Coturnix japonica: one gene and its partner. The protein of the gene in region 2 binds, or shares a complex with, the protein of the main gene of each other region. Links are inferred from orthologs where the notes say so. Each region holds a gene or a part of one and is shown on either strand. Other genes may lie near its edges.

Region 1 (9,859 bases), about 4.0 Mb from region 2:
TTCTACTACTTATACAGTTGGAAGACTTTGCTGAGTATTACAATCATGTTTCATCTCAATCAAGTGCCGTGTGTGATCATTTAGATGTGTAACCTAAGTTCTTTCTCTGTAAGATGGGTTGTGGATGATGGCTTTGCAAAACATATATCGGGACTATTTACACAAGCCATAGCCTTTACATCCTGAAATTGAATGTTATCACGTAACAAATAATAGAACAAGAACTTTTCAAAAAGACTGTATTCAAGGTATTGATAACGCAATCATAACTCCAGTGTTCAATATGCTCATTCGATTATGGTTGTCCAAACCTGTGATGTTCTTTTTCTCATGTATTTCTTCTTTTTACATAGCTTCTAGAAGACTGGATTACTAGATGGCCTCCCTTAGATATTACATTATAATCAAAGAATGTCTTTCTTCTGTAAGAACACAAAACCAAACCTCCTGGGTCAGATCAAAGGACCTTATCTTTGAGTATTTCTCTATATAGTGATCAAGGCAAATGGCTAACTTGAATAATCTTTCTCAGCCTCCTATGAATGGCTCACAGCCATCCTGAGCTACGGGTAGGAATATATTCCCATATATTCATATATTCTTTTTTTTTTTTTTTTTTTTTAATTCCTAGTAAAGTTAATTTATTGATTTAATAGTATTTTATCTAAGGATTTTTTTATCCTATTTATTTATTTATTTTGTAGGGCACTGAAACGTGAAGGAGTCTGTCAAAAGAAACAAAGACCTGGAAAATATCAGTGTTTGTCTTCATCTGGGGCTGCCAATGCCCTCACTTTTATCTCCCACAGTTACTGACAAAATCTTGTTGCTTTGAAAGTCATATCTCCCAGCTGCTGGCTGGCACCTTCACGGCTCCAGGGGAATGCAGGTGTCTTGCAAGGTCTTCAGTAGAGGAAGATGGTTTTCTTCACCAGGATAAGACTCTTGAACTTGTCTCAGTGTTCAGTGGCAAGCCACTGATGAACATGGAGCGTGGGGAGAAGTACTCATGGCAACCTGGGTTGCTAGGCAGATGGATTATTGTGTTTTGTTCCTGCCACAGTGTTCTCAGAGATCCTGGCTTCATTTCTAGATAGAATCAATGGTAATAAAGTCTGAAGGTTAAAATATATGAATCTCTAGGGCCAGTTCTGCTCTTGGGTGAGATGGGGAACAGCAACCTTGCACTTGCATATAAAAGTGAGTTTTTTCCTGCTGCAGCTCCTCGGGCATAGTCCCGGGGGCTAAGCACTGTCAGTAGTTCCTTGCCATTGAGGAGTATTGCTGAAAAATGCATGTTCAGCCACTTTTCCCCAAATGCAACTTTCCAAAAACTGGACAGGAGCATCTAATGATCCACAGGATCACAGCTATATGTAAACAGCAAGTGGTACTTGCCAGGACAGTTGATGATGCCATCCATTGGAATGAAAATGATTTCAGATGCTGCCACTGCAAGCATATTTTGAACCTATATTTCCCTTCCTTCCAAGTTTTACTTACAGACTTAGCAAAAAATGGAGTTTACCACCTCTAAAACAACAATTTACCCTTGCTGCCTTTGTCTCTATTTCTCTCTCACTTCTAATTGCGTGATTCAACTTCCTGCTTGTGCCAGTCCAGATGCTTGACACACCCTATGCCAAATTTCTTAACATGGCAGAAGCCTATTCAATTTTTGATGGATTGTTCTTCTGCTACTTCAGTGACTCATATCTACTCTCAAGGAATGGCACAGCCAGCATGAGGTAGGAGGTTGCGTAGCCAGCAGTAAAGATAGAAGAACAAAAACTGAAGAAAGAGCTGGATCCTCCCCCTTTTCAGCATCAATGAACTCTCCATGTCCCATGGAATTGTATCTTCTGATCAGATTTTTGGCAAACCTTTGGGCAAAGAAGACAGAAGAGAAACTGCAAGGAACAAGGTTTGAGTGAGTAGATGTGTTTAGATAATACTTTGGTTTGAAGAAGCTGTTTCCAAATCACTCAAATCAGCAGTTGATCCCAGAGAAAGAGAAGAATGGCAAAGCCAAATGCAGCTGTGTCATTCATACTGCATGGGTGAAAAATGGTTCCGCAATGTGGAAACAACTTCTCATTGGTAGGGCGGTACACTTAGGGCCACAAAGGAGTTAAAAGCAGACTCCTGTCACAGAATCATAGCTATTAATTACTTTATCTGTGAAGGGCAAACAAACACACTTATTTACGTCTTCATTTTCATGGTCCAATGGATCCACAGAGAGAGTTCCACAGTGAAGGTCTTCAGCAAGTGGTCAGAGCAAAGATGTGCCCAAACACTACAGTCCTGAAATCATGGGGGCAGTGAACTGTGGGGCATTACCATCACTCCTTCCATTTCTCTATGTTCTGTGTCACTTCTCCTATTTTAGAGATGTTTTTATGCTGAGCACAATTTCTAAATGTACTCATGGAAGATATACAAAACGTGGGATAAGTCTGCGATAACTGAGAGGAATATGCGTAATTAAAAGAGTTACAGAGGCAAAGGTACCTTACCTCTATTGGACGTCAGTGGATTCAGTCTTCAAATCAATGCTTGTTCTGTACATATTTTTCCCTGAGATATTTTTTGACATTTTTAAAAATGAAAAATTACAAGCCTAAAAGGGTATGTTCTCTTCAGAGGAGCTCTTTAAGGATCTTGCATGCAGCAGCTGATATTTCAAGCTGTTGAATTAGTAGTTCTGGGTTCCCTTTTGTACTTGCCTGTGCCAAAATGCGATTAGTTGTTTCAGCCCACTCATACCCTTGGTTTGAGATGTCTGTGCATTAAGTTAGAAAGGAAACAGTCATGTGGTTCAGGTCCAATATTTGATCTGCATTATAATTGTTAACATTTCTTTCCTACATGTTGCCAGGAGATTTTAAAGCGTTGAGTTCTCATTTTGAAGTGCTTTCTCATTCTGTATTTTATTCTCTGGAGACAGACAAGACACCAAAGCCCTGTATGTCAGGAACTGGGGGAAGAAAGGGAAACAGGTGCTGACATTTGGCTTCAAACTATTCAAAGCAAAAGGAAACTCCAGCCTGGAGCAGGAGATGCAGACTTACAGTCATTGTCCTGACTGGAATCTCAGTAACATGGGCAAGAGATTGTGAAATAGTCCTTGCTGAAATTAATAACAGCTGTAAATGACAAAAGATTTTGTACCTAGGCTAAGGGTGCCAAACATACAGAAAAAATATCCAGGATTTGACCAGTACTATTATATACTTGGAATAATGCTCTCCCAAAGGAGCGATTGTGGCAGCTAATGAGGGTCTGAGTCAGCTGCTACAGTAGGTCTAAGTGTGGCAAACACAACATGTAGTATCTGTTGCAGACTTCAGTATTTCCCCTTTCTTTCTGGATTTTACACGTTATTGTTTAACTACCATAACTCTTGGAGGAAACTGGGATAAGTGTGTGTCAGATATAGTGTGTGAGGAAAGCCAAGCCCAAATACTGCTGAGATTGATGGGAAGATGATAAAATAAAGTGGCCTGAGTGAAATGACTCTTACTATTTCATGTTCACAATGGCTCAGATCTACACAAAAACTGCTGTAGAAATACAAGAGTCTCAAATTTCCACAGCAAGCAAAATGTATTTCAAAGATGAATGTTGTCCATATTTTGGGCATGGGCTGGGCATGAAAATCTGAATGAGTGGAAAATCAGTTTTTAAAGCATTCATTAGGGGAATCTTGTGAAGACTTTGAACTAACATTCATTTTTTATAAATACATCAGCATTTGTAGAATTGCTCTGCATGTCCTGTGATGAATCAGGTGATCTGGAAAATGACACAGGGAATCTAATCCTTGGGCACAACACTGAAGAACATAAAATTTCACGCTGAGACGATGAGAGAAGTAATAAGCAAGCTCTGTGTTTGTCAAACAATGTATTTTGTTCTTCAGTTTCAAATACATCTACCACAACAGATCAACAACCAGCAAAGACGAAGGTTTTGTGTTTGGAGACATTGAAGGAACAAGAAAGGGGATTGCATCACAGTGAAAGATAATGGCCTTTCCTTCTGTTACTGTTACATTCTCTAGATTAGGCTTTTGCACTGTTATCACTCAAACTTCAGTTATCTGCTTGAGAGGAAACAAATCCACATTACCCATGTAGTCAAAACACATACTTGGAAGTACTCAGTTACTTTAATAAACTGTTCAAGTCTATAGGTAACCATTTGGAGGGATCAACTTTGTTAGAGAGCATAATCAGCTGTTTTCCCAAGAGACTAACACTGTACGCTCTGTTGGGTATATATTATACCCTATATTATACCCTCTTTACTCTGAGCTACGCACAATATAAACAGTATAAACAAATAGCGCCTACTGCGGGGAAGACAGTGCTTTGGTTCTAGGAATTTCCTTAAAACATTAGTTCCTATGAGTATATGGTTGCATCTTGTTGGTATGCTCATATTTGCATTTTCTCCACTTCCACAATCATTTGTTCAGAAGAACTGCGCATTGCAAGTACATCTGCTAAAATACACGGCTATATTTAAACTGCGTTTTATTTAATATCGCTGAGAATATTTTAGCTGTTTCAAGAGTGACGATATTTAGAATAAAATGTTCTTTCACTTTCTGAAGCTCAGATGCAGAAATCTCTGCAATTGCTGGGAAGACTTTTTTTTTTTCTGTGAACCAGCAGATTGCTGGGGCTCGTCCAAGTCTCCCTGCCAGGACAGTGGTGCTTGTGCCTGCCGATGCCACCCGTGCCAGGTGTGTCTTCAGCGGTGGGTTCTGTCACTTTGCCATGACAGGGAGTGACACCCCAAGCATTACTGGTCCCAGCTGGGAGGGAGGGTGGTGGGTTACAGCTGCAGCCTCCATGCCTGGGATCCGTGTTTGGGTGCGATGGATGTTTTGGAGCATTAGCACCCAGGACTATGGCTGTCACTCACTGCTCTTGAAACCACGCAGTGCAGTAGTTAGTGCACTCAAAAAATCACTGCACTGCTTCACTCAGCTTTTATATGCTTTTTATTTCAGCGGGCCCGGTGACTGCTTCCCAGGGCGGAGGGCTGCCAGCTCAGGCCTGGCGCTGGGGGCCAGGGGAGGCCGCGGTGGAAGGAGGGGAGCGCCCGCCGGGCCGCTGCGCCCCGCGTCGCCACGGCGACGGCTCGGGGCTCGGCCATGGCGCAGGCGGTGAGCAGTGACGGTAAGGCCGGGCACGGGGCCTGCACAGCGGCCTGCGGGACGGAGCGCGCCTGGGAGTGGGAAGCGAGGGGCCCAGCCTTGGGTGACGGCGTGGGGCGGGGCCAGCCCTCCGCCAAGGAAAAGCGATCCCGGCTGACTCTCGGGGCTCCGGGGCTTATTTTTAGAGGGAGGCGTGTTCTGCTTCAGGAAGCGCTGCCAGAAAGTGTGATTGAAAGGCGAGAGGTAACTCCTCCCGCAAGGGTGTCCCAGCGTCGTTTCCAGAAGGTTGTGCACTCTGAGCAGCTCGTAACAGTGTCGCTTCTGAGTGCCGTCCTTTGTGTAAATAAACACGAGAACGTGGTAATAAGTCACAGATTGAGAACACTGTAACTAATAAGTTATTTCGTATTAATGAGTAAAAGCACAATTTTCTGTGAAAAACCCACAACAAAAAGTTGTGGGTAATGCTGAATGAGGAGTTTTTCTGATTGCTTGATCAATAGCTTCTAATGCATTTTTTTAGTTCGAATGTAATTTTAAAGAAGTTGAAGCGCCGTCTTGCTGAAGACACACCCTTTTGTTGATTGTTTTTTAATTACTAGAGGTAGTTTATCATCCTGTAAAGAGCTGTTCCCAGGAGACCACCACAAGTTATCTGCTAGAGGGAAACTGTGCTGTCAAGAATTCCATTCCTGGCCCTTCCTGACAGATCACAGGAAGGTGGCAAGCTGGGCTTTGATTTCCTGCCTGTAGGGAGAAGACAATGACTTGTATCTCATGGATAGTGTGAAGACAAGGCATCTAGCTTCCCTTTGGACACTCATGAGAATCCTACACTTTTATTGAGCAGATGATTTCCTTAATGCCTCATAGAGGTGTCTCATCACCAAGGCAAACTAATATTCAGTGTCTCACCGAAGTGCAGAAGCATCCCATAAGAGGAGATGGCTTATCTCCATGTCAGTTGCTCTTAGACCTCCTGCAGGTAGCAGTTAGGGGGCTGATTAGAATCCTCAAATCCTGGATTCATGCAGCAATTGTGCTTCTGACAAGCATTTTACATAAACACAAACTGCAGCTTTTACTTTGTTGTGTCTCAAAGAGAAGAACAGCATTAGTTTTATTGTCGAATAATTAGTCTTTAGGGTATTCCCCTTGGTTCTTGGTAGAACTGTAGTTCCACCTGCTTTTGTGGTAAACGTTTCCCTTAGGTCCTATTATTTTCAAGTTTGTCTTCATCAAAGTTAAAATGCTTACCTTAATGTTTAACAGATATACTGGATGTACACAAGAAAAAACAGTGTAAGGCCAAGTCTTGCAGCCTCTTTTGCATGACATTGATAATGTGTTACCCTCTAGCTTACATAATTGCGAATAAAATCTTGCATGTGTGTGAGTGCTAATATCATGCCCATGATATATGGAGCTGTATGTTTTATGCATGAATTTGTATTCCTGCATTTGTGCTTTCAACGTTATTTAATTATTTTTTTTTCTTTATTCCCATCTGATTACATTACACTGCTTCATCTTTCTCTTTTGTGTATTTGTCTGTATCTTTCTTCCCATCGTTCTGTTTCTTTCCCCTTTTTTGCTACTTAATTCCATCTGTCTGTTCTTCCATTTGTTCTCAGGTACTTTCTTTATAATTTCACAGAACGTGTCAGATTTTCTAAGTTTCCATCTCTCTGATCTCAGTGCCGATGTTACTAGAACCTGAAAGTAAAATGTCAGACCAGTAGTGCCTGAAGTAAAACTAGATGGAAGACAAGACGTATTTTTCTCCAGCTGGGATTTAAGAAATTACATGGAAGTACATAAAAGAGAATGTTCAGTGTGGCTTTATCATTATGGTAATACTGTGTATGTGATCAGTATGAGAGTTTTATACACACTGTATTCTTTGTGCTAGTTAGCACATACTTAAAATACAATTAATAAGTCATGAATTTGAATCCAAAAGGAAGTAGATGAAATATTCTGAGCTCCTGTTGCACACCTTTATACCCATACAGAACTGGACGACTGATTCTGGGTAACAAAGGTCTTCCAGAAACATAACTGATTGTGATGTGAAGACTTAAGGAGATGGTTTATAGCCATTCTCTGATGAGGATTTTCTCTGGTAAATAGTAGTGATTCTGGGGAATTTAACTTACTGCTGCAGTATGTCATTAGTCCTCACAGATCCTTTTCCCAACTTGTGAAAAACTCACAATAAGGTTGTTAGTGGAGATGGGAAAGAGTTTTTACCTCTGCTCTAGAGCCTTATGAACTCTGCTGAACTCTTTCCAAGAGATCCCCGTCTTTTTTGTACTGGGGAGCCCAATACAGACACAGTACTTCAGATGTGGCCTCACCAGGGCAGAGGGGGAGGATCACCTCCCTTGACCTGTTGGCCATGCTCTTTTTAATGTACCTTTTTGGCCACTGTCGTCTACCAGGACACCCAGGTCCCTCTCAGCAGAGCTCCTCTCCAGCAGGTCATCCCCCAACCTGTTCTGGTGAATGCAATTATTTCTCCCTAGGTGCAAGACTCTACACTTGCTTTTGTTAAACCTCATCCGGTTTCTTACTGCCCAGCTCTCCAGCCTGTCCAGGTTTCGGTGAATTCTGCCCCTGTACTCAGCATTGGTGAGGCCTCACCTCGAGTACTGTGTTCAGTTTTGGGCACCTCAGTACAAAAAATACATGGAGGTACTAGAGCAGGTCCAGATAAGGGCAACGAGGCTTGTGGAGCACTTGGAAAATCAGCCCTATGAGGAGAGGCTGAGGGAGCTGGGGCTGTTCAGTCTGGGGAAAAGGAGGCTGAGGGGAGACCTTATTGCTCTCTTCCAGTATCTGAAAGGTTCCTACAGTGAGAGAGGGGCAAGTCTCTTCTTACTGGTGACAAGTGACAGGATGAGGGGAAATGGCCTCAAGTTGTGCCAAGGTAAGTTTAGGTTGGACATTAGGAAACACTTCTTTTTTTTTTTTTTTTTTTTCTTAAGGGTGGTTCAACACTGGAATAGGCTCCCTAGGGAGGTGGTTGAGTCACCATCTCTGGGTGTGTTTAAGAGCCGTTTGGATGTGGTGCTCAGAGGTTTAAGATTGTTAGGGTAGTATGGTTAGGCTGCGGTTGGACTTGATGATCTTTGAGGTCTTTTCCAGCCTGTGTAATTCTATGATTCTATGATTCTCTGGCAGCTCCCTCAGCACCCATGGATGCACCCCATCAGGTCCCATGGATTTATGAACATTGGTGTTGCCTAGGCGCTCTTCCTTGACTAAAGCAAAATCTTCCATTCCCCAGATCCTCTCACCCTTTCCTGATTTCTTGTTCACAGCTCCAAGTAGGGTCCCAGAAGAGATCAAAGTTGGCTCTCCTAAAGCCCAAAGTAGCAATCCTACTTTTTGCTTTGCTTCTTCCACTCAGGATCTTGAACTCCACCATCTCATGATCACTACAACCCAAGCTGCCCCCCACCTTAACTTCCTTAACAAGTTAAGGTTCCTTGTTAGTGAGAATAAGGTCCAGTAACTCCCCTCCCCTTGTAGGTTTCTCTACCACCTGCATCAGAAAGTTGTTATTTGTAACCAATAGTTGCACTCACAGCTCACTTAACTAACAGGACAGTTTCAAACCTGACTCAGCAAAGTGCTTCATCTGTGTACAGCGTTGGGGAATCCCATTGAAGGTGACAATACGATGCACATGATGTTAAGTACATGAGTCCATTTAAGTGTCCTGCTGTACTGAGGATTGTAAATTGCTTTTTCTTTTTTTCTTTGTGGTTTTCAGGGGTTAAGCGTCAGCATACAAAAGTACAAAAAGCTCCAGATTAAACACTTGCAATGAACCTTCAGGCTAAAGTAGTTCAGTGGGTGAATTATCTCTAATTGTAAGAGGCAGTGTTTCTTTTGAAGAACAAATAGAACATTGGCATACATTGTTAAAATAAGTAGCTTTCATAGGGCTCAAGCAAGGAATATTTCAGGTGTAGAAGAAAACCCAAATATATGAGATCCCTTAAAAAATCAGTGTATAGTCTTACCACTTGAGGATTTAGAGATGAATACTACTTCCTTTTGTTGGCATCGCTGTGAGAAATTGTTTGAGGAGGAAAGTTGATATCTTTTATTAGGTCGTAATACAGTTTAACATGCGCCTTGACATCAGTTTGAGTTATGTTTTAATATTTGTACTTCAGACTGAAACAAAGAATAAATTGTGCCCATCTTTTATAGATCAGCACAGGCTGCAGATGTCTCATCCTCTTGGCTGTAGTCCTGCACTAGAAGTTATCTCAAATGCATGTAGAACAGGTACTTGCAGATTGGCAGATTTCTTGTTTCCATGGCACATAAAATAGCAGAAGTTCTTCAGTCTGGCTGTACATCTAACTGAATTACTGAGTACAAAATGAGCTGGTTTGCAGAAAGGCTTTAAACTTTTTTTGTCTCTCAAACAATGCCAACCAGCAGATACACAGCACTGATAGCTGGAGAACTCCCACAAAGTCTCTCTCTAGCAGTAGTTAACTTGTTATTAAGAATTTCCATATCTGCATGCTAATTTTTCTGAGATCTGAGGGTTTATTTATTTATTTATTTGCAAGCCACCTTAATTTGTGTGAGCAGGTACTGCTTTGTTGCTATTGGCAGTGGGGTTTGGCAGGGTGAAGGTGAGGGGCAGTAACTGTGGCTACC
Region 2 (9,930 bases):
TTGCATCTCATCCAAATGCCAGATGGCAAACTAACTCCAGCAGGAGCTGTGCCAGGCCCCCCTCCCTTCCTCTCTATCCTTTAAGCTACAGAAAAAAACCACGATGAAGAACCAGTGCAACTCTAGCAGTGGATGCAGACTTCAGGCTGTTGTGCTTTCCCTTGCTTCCCTAGGCTTCAGCCCCAGCTGTGTGGGATTGAGGTGGGGGATGCTAGAGAAGAGAGGAGCTGGTCTACAGCTCTCCTTGTTCCCAGCTCCAAAGCAGTTATAATTAATGGATAAAACTGAGGATGCGGCCACACTTGCTGCTGGCTGAGCACTGGCCGCCCCTTGAGCAGTTCCTTCTCTCTTCAAGGGACTTTGACACCTTCTGCTGGCTCTTGATACTCAGGAAATGCCATCATCACGGCACCAGGGCCTTTCTGTTAGCTCTGGGGTCTCCCACTGTCACTTCTGTGTTGCAGCAGGACTCTCAGCTCTGCTCCATGCAGCACAAGTCCCCTCGCTGCCGCTCAGCTCCTTGGTGGGAATGGGGAAGACAAGCCTGTTGGTAGTGCTAAGGGATCATGCTCAGAATTAGGGCTCACTGCAGCAGGTTGGGCTGTAAGGAAGGTCACTGGGATCACTGAACACTTTTGCCAGCCTTCCTTCCTGTTCCTGTGTGATGGGATGGTGCCACAGCCCTGTGGCTGCTGGTGGGATTTCCATGCGGAGGAGGGACAGGATCTGGTGAACCTTCTATTCTTGGCTGTGTTTCTTGCAGCCTTTACAGCATTCAGAGCAGGTGTGAAGCTTTTCCCTTCCCTTGCTGGGGATGAGAGCTGGTGGGAGGCTGTTTTCCAGAGCCCCATGGAGATACTTCCTTCACTTTGCATGGTCACTTGAGTTGCTTTGGGAGTCCATGATGTGCATTTCAGCTTGTGGATGCATATCATTCCCTCTCTTGCCCTAATTCCAGCCTCTCCCTGTTGTGCTGTGCTTTGATCAATGTGAAATATTTGCAACAGGGTTAGGTGCTGTGCAGGGACATGGAGCAGGGGGGGGGAATCAAGTCTGCCAGCCCAGGTGGTTTTACACTGTGAGCACCTGGGAAGTTCAAGCAAAGCAGCACAGCACCTTTCCCTCACATGGCTGCTAGACAGCAGCTCAGAGACCCAGGGGCTGCTCCAGCTGAGGGCAGTGCCCACTTTCCTTGTGGGAAAACAAAGCCCAACACAATGAGGACAATGTCAGCGCGGTCGCTGCGGCAGGAGGATGCTGATGGGGTAGGACAGCCTGGGAGCTCACTGCTGAGAGCTGCTGAGCTGATGCTGTCCTTCGGTGCCCTCTTCCCCCCTTTGCACCTCATCCCTGCCGGGGCTGCATGGCCTGGTGCCAAGGGCTGAGGAGCTGCCAGCTGCCATCGCCCTCCCTACAGTGATGGGTGGCAGAGTCCCAGCCCCCTCTTCGTGCCCTCTTGTCCTCTCTGCAGGGAAATCCGCCTGGATTCTCTTTGCAGACAGGGAGTGCTCAGCGTGGCAGGGCTGGTCTTGCTGTTGCCATCTCTGGGTGGGCTGCCGCTGTGTTTCCAGCTGGGCAGTAGAGAGAATTAAAAGCCTGAGTGAGCAGAGCAGCCAGGATGAGCCAGGAAGCATCAGCAGTGCCTCTGTCAACACTGCAGCTGAGGAAGGCAGGCAGCTCCTTAATTATTGATTGCACTTATAAATAAATGCTGGGACGGGGAAGAGAAGGTTACAGCAGAGCAAAGAGCTGCTTTGAGGCGGGGAGGAAATGTGAGAACGTGGCTGTTTTAAAGGTCAGGTGGTTTTGCATCTCCTTTCCTCTTTCTCTGTTAAACTCAGTGATATTTGAGGTGAGGACTCACCTTCCTTGGGCCAAAGTGGGCTGGGGGAAGCAGCGTGAAAGTGGGGGCAGTGAGGGAAGGGAGCGGGCAGGGAACGGCGGCTGCAATGTGGGACAAGTGAGGAGACAACAAAATTAGTAGAGCAGCAAATCCCAACCCGAGTGTAAATAATTCCTCACCATGTGAAAAGAAGGTCTACGTAGCTTCTGATTTATCTTCCTGTTCCTGGAGCTGTAACCCACGCAACCTCTGGTGTAAAGGAATGGGGCAGTGTGTGAGGGAAGGCTGGGTGAAGATCAGAGGGAGATGGAGATACCAGGACCTGTGTTAAGGACTACAATAGCAACCCCATGTCTGTGCAGCCTCAGGAATGTCGTGGTCAGCTGAGAGCATGGGGGGGGGACTTGGGGCTGAAATGGAAGCAGGGCCTCGAGAATGACAGCCCCCACAGGAGCCCTGAATGCCTGCAAGTGATGGGACTTCACAGCTTACTCTGGAGCACTCCTGCAGGAGGGACTGCAAGAGCTATGAGGGCACAGGGTGCAGTGCAGAGCTGCACTCAGCCTGCCCCAACACAACAGGACAGGCCTCCCTGCGGCCCCTCTGCAATCTCAGGGGAGACATTACATGTGGTGGGCAGCAGCAGCCCAATTGTAGCTGTGCTTACCTTCTGGGTTTTCCCAATGCTTTCCAGAGGAGCTCGGATTGCAGCCCATCAATTGCTGCTCTCAGCAAGTGGTGCAGAAACACCGGCTGTAATTGAATCACCAGAGCTGACTGCAAAGCACGGTCATCCTCACAAAGCGAGCTGGCCAGCTGTGAAGGGCAGGCAGCACAGGTGAGCTCAGGGATCCCCCCATGAAACACCTGTGCTGCTCTGGCTCGTGCCCTGCCATGAACCTGGGACTTGGCCACCAGGGCCAGGGTTGGAGAGGTGCTTTGGGCCAGGGGCTGTTCATGGCAGGCAGCATGATGCTCCCCACAGGCTTTCCTCCCTTTGTTTCCACTATTTTTTCCTTCCTCCTCAGCTGCTGTTAGGAAGGGATGTCACTGTGGTGGTTTATAAGTAGTGACCCATCTTGCTATTGAGTGTGACAGTGGTCCTCAGCTTCTGCTGGCCCCGAGGTAGCTGGACAGTCGTGGGTCACATCCAACTTGGCTCTTCCTGTTGGCTCGATGAACTGTTCAAAACACAGGCCTGCAGCAATGCCAGGAGTCCTGGGGATGTCCCTGACACATGCTGGGGATGGCCCTCGTGGGATTACACATGCAGCTGGAGAAACCCAGCCTGTGCTCACTGTTCTGCTGCCAGCTCCTCTCCTCAGCAAACCCTGAGTGACTTGTCCTATCTCTCCCTGCAGGCTGCCTTTCAGGTACTCCTGATGCCCTCCCTAGCAGGCTCTCTTTGGAGATACTCCCAATCCATCTAGGGCTCCCTACCCTGCAACCCCAGCCCTGTGCTGGGTCTGCTGCTCTATCAGAGAGCAGGACAGGGACCCATGGCTGCTAGGCTAGAGGGTTATGTAGCCTGCAGAGCCCCAGCTCTCATCCCATCTGTGCAGCTCTTCCAGCTAGGCAAGGCCTAATGTGTGTGGTTGGTCCTTCACACAAAGTCAGGTAGCTGCCTGGAATTCGGGCCGGCACTCACATGCGCCCTTCAAGGACCTTGGGGGTCCATCTGGACTTACAGAGCAGTTGCCTACTTGACAGCACCTGTTCACAGCAAAAAAAAACTCATCACTTATTAACTAGTTCCTGCTTTTCACTGTCCTGTGTGTGTGTGTGTGCATGCAGCCCGTGCTGTTTGGAGTTGCAACGCGTGCACAGAGAACTGCTTGCACCTTAGATCTCTAGTAAGGGAATGCAAGCTGCTATTTTGGCGAGAGATCTATATTTAAAACTCATGTTTCATCCCCTCCAGCTCTCCTAGCTGAGCACTGCTCTACCTACTGCTAAAATACAGAAAGATGGTGGCTATGTCCGTAGCATTGGATGCGTGTTGTCTTGTGGAATAAAAATGGCAGGAAGAGGATGTAGTCCTGTACACTGGGATTTAGGAGAATAGCATGGAATTTATTCTTTTAGGATCAGTGATGGTCCAGCACAGCCACATCTCAGAAACCAGCATTTCTACTGCAGCAGCCCATGCTACCAAACCGGTGCCTCCACACAGCTGCTCTTTGGTAGGATGAGATGCTTTCTCTCTTTCGGTTACATAGCAGGTTTTGTGCTACAGAGTTACAGCAAGATCACAACTTGGTTGTGCTGCAACCTTGTTGATGACCCATCTAAATCCCTGCAGGCTCAGAAAGAGGAAACTTTTCCTTAGTGCCTCTGCTCAGGACACCCAGGGTTTATTTCTCATGGTGGGATTGGCTCTGCCACCTTGTATCTGGGGAGCCACTCTTCCCATAGAATACAGGAGGGGGATAGCAGAGCTAGGAAGCCATGAAGCTGTGTCACTGCTGCCCACTCATCTCAGCAGGCTCCTTCCCCAGTGCTGAGAGCCCATCAGATCCTGCAGTGGAGAGGAGTCCTTCAAAAAGCCCCTGAGGACACCACCACTGCTCTGGAAGTCACTGCTGCAGCAGCCATTGGCTGGCCAGGTGAACACTGGTGGGGGCTTGACTTGCACTTTCTCTGCCTGCAGAGACATTACCTTGAAGGTCAGCACACGGATCCCTGCACATCAAGGGGTGAGGCAACAATTTACAAGGTGCCAGTAGTTTTAAAGTTGAAATTAAACAACAAAAAAAGCACAAAGGGAGGTTAAATCCATAAGGTTGCTATTGGCAAGCTCAGGCTCTGCTTTTGGAGCATGATGCAGAAGCAGCTCAGCCTCTCCTCCTCCTCACACACCTACTCTCCAGTACCAAGAGGAGGCATCATCTCTAGCAGCAGCTTTTATGAATGAGGAAGCAATCAAGAAAAGCATTTTCCCAGTAACACAGAGCATCCTTTCCCTTCCCCATACCTGGTACTGCTGTGGCTGGGATGAAACACAGCAGCTGTTCCACAACAGGCATTAACAGTATTTTTAACCGATGGCGTGAACTGTCCCAGTCATCCTGATGTCCAGGAACCTCGGCTCGCTGTCTCCTTTACTAAAAGCTCTACCTTAAACTCCCTGGATGGAAGTAATGATTAATGGAGGAGAAGGTCTATCCTCTTGCTGCAGATGTAGGGGCTGTCAGCACTATGGTGAAACGCAAGATAGTATGGAGCACCACCAACCTCATATCAATATCAGGCACTTAACCAAGTGCGAGCTCCTGCTCTTTACACAGCCACAGGTACTAAGAAAAGACGTGTAGGAGTGACACTAAGTCTTAGAATTGGGACTGGACAGCTGCTGAGATGAGGAAGGAAATCCCTCATCCTCTAAACACAATTAAATCCACCACCTTTCTCCCCTGGGTCAACTGTTGTTCATTGAGGAGAGGAGGCCGTGCTCACAGCAGTCATTTCCCACTATATCTTCTTTACTTTGCCTTATTTATGTGACAACTGAGCAACAGGCAAATATATCAGCCTGCTGAGCTTGCCCTACAAACCTAAGCTGAGAGTAGCAGCTGTGTGCAAGTGCACTGCTGTATCCCTCTGACCAAAGGGTTATTGCTGGGTCATGCACGTGAAGCTCAGTTCTGTTCCAGCCATGCAGCACTGTTAGAACCCTGCCTACCTCGGCCACCTAACAGTCTGCTCTCAGCTACCAGAAGCTTATTGTATCAGTCTACCAAATCTGCTAAAAATTCACTTCCTAGCTCATCAGCCTCACCACTGTGGGGGTACCCTTCCTCCATAGCATCAAACATCCTAACATAACTACCCTCTTTCTGCTCCTCACCCACTAACATCACTGTTCTTCCCACCCCCTAAAGCATGTAGCTATTGCCTCCTAATTCCACCACACCAGGCAGCCCTATCTGCTGCTGAAATTCATCTGTGCCAGGTTGCTGTTCTTGCTCACAGGGTGAAGCCTTTCTGTATCACTACCCAGTTGCACCTCCCTATCAGCTACCACCCATGACCTCTCTATTTAGGCCAGTTTGTAACACAAAGGTTTTCTGGCCAAGAACTCCAGGCGTCATTCTAACAATGGAAGTCTGAGGAAGCAACCTGAGAGGAAAGGATTTAAAAAGGAGCAGAAGTAAGAAATGTGTAAGAATGTGCACTCAGAGCAAAGAGGTGGAGGTCAGGATGATTCTGTTCCCTTTGTGCTTTAACAAAAAGGCCTGACTACAATACTAACCATTGCATAGGCTAGGCAAAAGGTTGTGCACACAGGCAAGAACTTCTCTTCCCATTTCTAAGTTACTGTAGCATTTTTATCAGGGACTGGTGTATCCTTTAGCAAGATGGGACTGCTTAGACTACAGCATATATTTATTTTTACAGCATATATAAGCTTTCTGGGCTTACAGGGAAAAAGGTGCGGATATGAAGAAAAACAAAACACCAACATAACATTAGAGGGATCAAACACTCTCCATCCTTTAATAACTTTGGGATACGACAGTCATGTTCTCAGAACCTCCCAGTGCTGGTCTTGTGGCAAGAACTGCACTGTTCCAGAAGCTGGTGCCTTCTGAGGCTCAATCACCATATACCCATGATGAGAACATACAGCGTTGCTCTGTCAGTGCTTTCAGGAACAGACACTGCTCAGCCCTGATGGCCAGACACCAAGTGCTCCAATGCAGTGGTTGCAGCAGGGCTCACTGTGAGAATTGTCAAACCTTCTGCACAGTATAACGTGCACTCTGCATCAAGTATCCACACAGCTTACAGCTGTCCTGCCACCAAAGCATCACACACATTTCAGAGTTTACTCTGAGCAAATTCCAGTGCAGTAGTCAGGGCTCCCTGCATGCCCTTGGCATTTCCACTGCCCTTAGCGACAACAGGAGAACCTCCTGCCTTGCCTTCCATCTGTGTACAGACAGCCACGGCCCAGTCAGCAGCGGAGAACATGGGGAGGCAATTCTGGGGAAGAGACACACACTTTGGTCTGTGGAGCACTCTGCAGCATGGAAGAAGGAACATCTTTCTCCCCTCACCCAGCCTGGACCCTCGCTACCTGGGGAAGACATGACTGAGAGGAGACTGAGCTTACGTGTTAGCTCTACATCCTACCACTGGGCAAACATGTCTTGGATGACCCAGGGATATTGGTGCCCAGCAAAAACTGAAAGATTATCTGGCCCCAGTACAGTCATCTTGGGTCATTCCTCAACATAACTCATCAGTGACACTGGGTAGAAACCCAAGAAAAAATTCAGCTGGGACCTAGTGAGTAGTGTACCCAGTCCTCCTCTGCAGGAAGGCTTCCCTGGGATTCTGCCAGGGTTCTGCTTACCTTGGACACCTGACAGGCACAGAGCACCTCCCCAGAATCCTGAGGGCTGAGCAGCAGGACTGATGTGCCAGGTGACTTGTCACAAAGCTGGTTCACTACCTTCATTAGGATCTAAGAGAGGAAGGAAAAGGCAGAGTCAGGAGACTGCTGCGTAGCTACCATTGGCTGCATCCAGCATCTTAAGTATTGCTGGGCCAACAAATAATGTGCTTTACTTACAGACAGGGAGTCTGCTGGGACAGTATCAATAATGACAGGTTGGTTGCAGTGTTTTGCTAGCAGGCTTTGTGCCTTCTCTTCAGCCTGGAGGAAGAAACACACAGCACTTGAAGGGCTACAGGTGGCACAGGGTGACCGGGAGGGGTATATAAGTTGCAACACACGTATACAGGGAATGCAAGTGCTGTTCTGTACGACAGGGGAGATTTATGTTAGCATATGTCTGGAGACCTGTACAATCCTCCTGCCTCAAAAGCAAGCAGATTTCAGAAGGGACAGTGACACGTTCAGTTCTCAGACTCTCTCCCTGGCCTCTGCACTGCCACATGTATCAAGGTAGGTTTCCATGGCAGGATACTGCTATTTTAAGTAAAGGATAGATCATACTGAGAACATTAAGTCTGCAATATGAATTTCATAAGGTTTTTTAATATAATCATGTAAATTAATAACAGATTCAGAAGGAAATCAGCAACATCCATATGCATGGGAGAAAGGCTCTTCTGCCACTCTACCACATGATCTTGTCAAGACCATTTACAGGGCAATGTCATCTTCTCCATCCATTAGCAAGTAGGCAATGCATATCTATCTACCTGTTGGTATTTGTTAGAAGCCCTGTCCTCACTGGTAGACAGACACCAGGATTTTGCACATACAGAAATGCAGTCAAGTCACTGCACATTATAAACAGCAGTCCTGTCAGTGAAATCAACTCAACACAAGGCTTACACTGCGCTGTGTGACTGCATCCACTTCCCCCTGCCTTTTGATGAGACTCCAGACACTGAATTGCAGTGAACTGTGACAACAACATGAGGTTCAGTGGTGGACACTATGCAGTGCTATTAGCAAGCTACAGTGAGTGCGCTGCCGTCACACTACCTGCTGCACCTCCAGTTTCTTGATGGCCGTGTTGGCGGTTCGCTGCAGCAATTTGAGGATGCTCTGTAGTTCTTTTCGTTGCCACTGGGGCATTGCAGTGCTAGCCACCACCTGCAAGACAGTCTTCTTTATAAAGATACTGAATTGTACCTAGAAATAAAATGCTTGCTCTCTGGAAGCTCAGAGTGGAGCCTGTTCTCTTTCCAGACCTTCCTATGCACATACCTGATCATGCCAGTCACTCACTGCAGCAATTTTTCAGCTAGGCATCTAAAACCTTGGGGAAAGCCTGGAAACCCCTTTTTACTGTTTAACTCTCCCCACTGCTGCCTCCTCTGGGAGGAAAGGCACCAAGATACTAGCTGAAATCTTTATGAACAAAGAGGCACCTGCAAGTAGCAACTCCTTTCTACTGACTATGGTAGTATGTGAACATCCTAAGGAAGTCATGTTGCCTCAAGAGCCTGCCAATGCTGGGGTCTTTCTGGATGGAATGTAATCCTTACTTTGGTTAACTGTCCCACTTCTTTGGAGAGGTTCTGCATCTCAAGAACAGAGGCGCTCCCCCTCTGCTTCATCCGTATTGAGACAGAGTCCACTTCCATAGCCAAACACTGACCTACTTCTCGGGCCTAGAGAAAGGGAGAGAGAAAATGTTTCAGATGCAGCAACAGAAAAAAAATCAATCAGGGATGGAGAAAAGAGGGAGGTGGCACTGAAGTGCTGCTAAGTATCCAGTGGGAAGACACCTACAGTCAAGCTTTAAGAATGACTGTCCCCAAGAGACTCTGGAATAGAGAGTTCCTCTCTAGATCTGAAGCCAATACTAGATGGTCACACCTGCAGGACAAAGCTGTCACGTAGCTATGTTTCTTCAGCAAAAAGTCCTCATCAAGGACAACAATGACCTCACAGGAACAATAATAGGTTGCTTACTTTTTTTTATACAGACCCAATCAGATCAGAACTACAGTTTGGCAAGAAAGAGACTATAGGGAGAAGAAAAAAGTCTGTAAGAATGAGGGCAGAACCCTGTAGTCATAAAACACGTGTCCAGCTGTGATAGGTAGGAGGTAAAACCAAAGCTCAAAGGATCACACCTTCAAATACCTGCCCAGTGATTGAAATTTCTAGCCCAGAAGTTTCCTGACACTCTGTGCCAAATTTCTATCTTGGAAAAGGGGGTCTGAGGGAAAGAATGAAGGTCAAGGAGACAGACGTCTTAGGGCAGCTGGGGAGTGGATGTGAACAGTGAGGGAAAGCAGCAGAACTGTGTCCCAGGGTAAAAGAGGAAGTGAGATCAGACATAGTAGTGAAGCTCCAGCACAAGCACAAGAAAGTTAATTGCCTAAACAGGAGCCTACAAAGTTGGATTTGGCTGAAATCTCGGTTTTTCCTTTCTTACCTGTTTGGCTTGTCTCCCCGTCACTGCAATGACACGACTAATCCCTTTCACAAGCTGACGTTCATTGACAATGGCTAGATCCTCCATCGCTCCTGTCTGTAGAAGGTGTCTGCAAAGTTAACACAACAGGGAAGAAACAAGCTGCTCTCAGGGAACAGAAATCAAGAGGACTGCTTTCATTTTAGCCACATCTCCAGGAGAGCAGCCTCTACTCAGTCC

Evidence for each region.
Region 1: TCTE1 (region 2) and EFCAB2 share a complex: the UniProt entries of both Homo sapiens proteins name them as parts of the nexin-dynein regulatory complex. The link is inferred for Coturnix japonica from reciprocal best matches to the Homo sapiens genes DRC5 and DRC8.

The regions. Positions count from the first base shown.
Region 1 is NC_029518.1:31,174,316-31,184,174, reverse strand, and holds the start of EFCAB2 (dynein regulatory complex protein 8), read left to right. Parts: upstream 1-4,840; 5' UTR 4,841-5,167; coding exon 5,168-5,192; intron 5,193-5,391; exon of another isoform or gene 5,392-5,413; intron 5,414-9,859. UniProt on the Homo sapiens protein: Component of the nexin-dynein regulatory complex (N-DRC), a key regulator of ciliary/flagellar motility which maintains the alignment and integrity of the distal axoneme and regulates microtubule sliding in motile axonemes.
Region 2 is NC_029518.1:27,139,252-27,149,181, reverse strand, and holds the start of TCTE1 (dynein regulatory complex subunit 5), read right to left. Parts: upstream 6,085-9,930; 5' UTR 1-6,084. Other genes in the region: AARS2 (alanine--tRNA ligase, mitochondrial), read right to left, coding at 6,665-6,829, 7,203-7,313, 7,422-7,505, 8,307-8,417, 8,813-8,938, 9,712-9,820. UniProt on the Homo sapiens protein: Component of the nexin-dynein regulatory complex (N-DRC) a key regulator of ciliary/flagellar motility which maintains the alignment and integrity of the distal axoneme and regulates microtubule sliding in motile axonemes.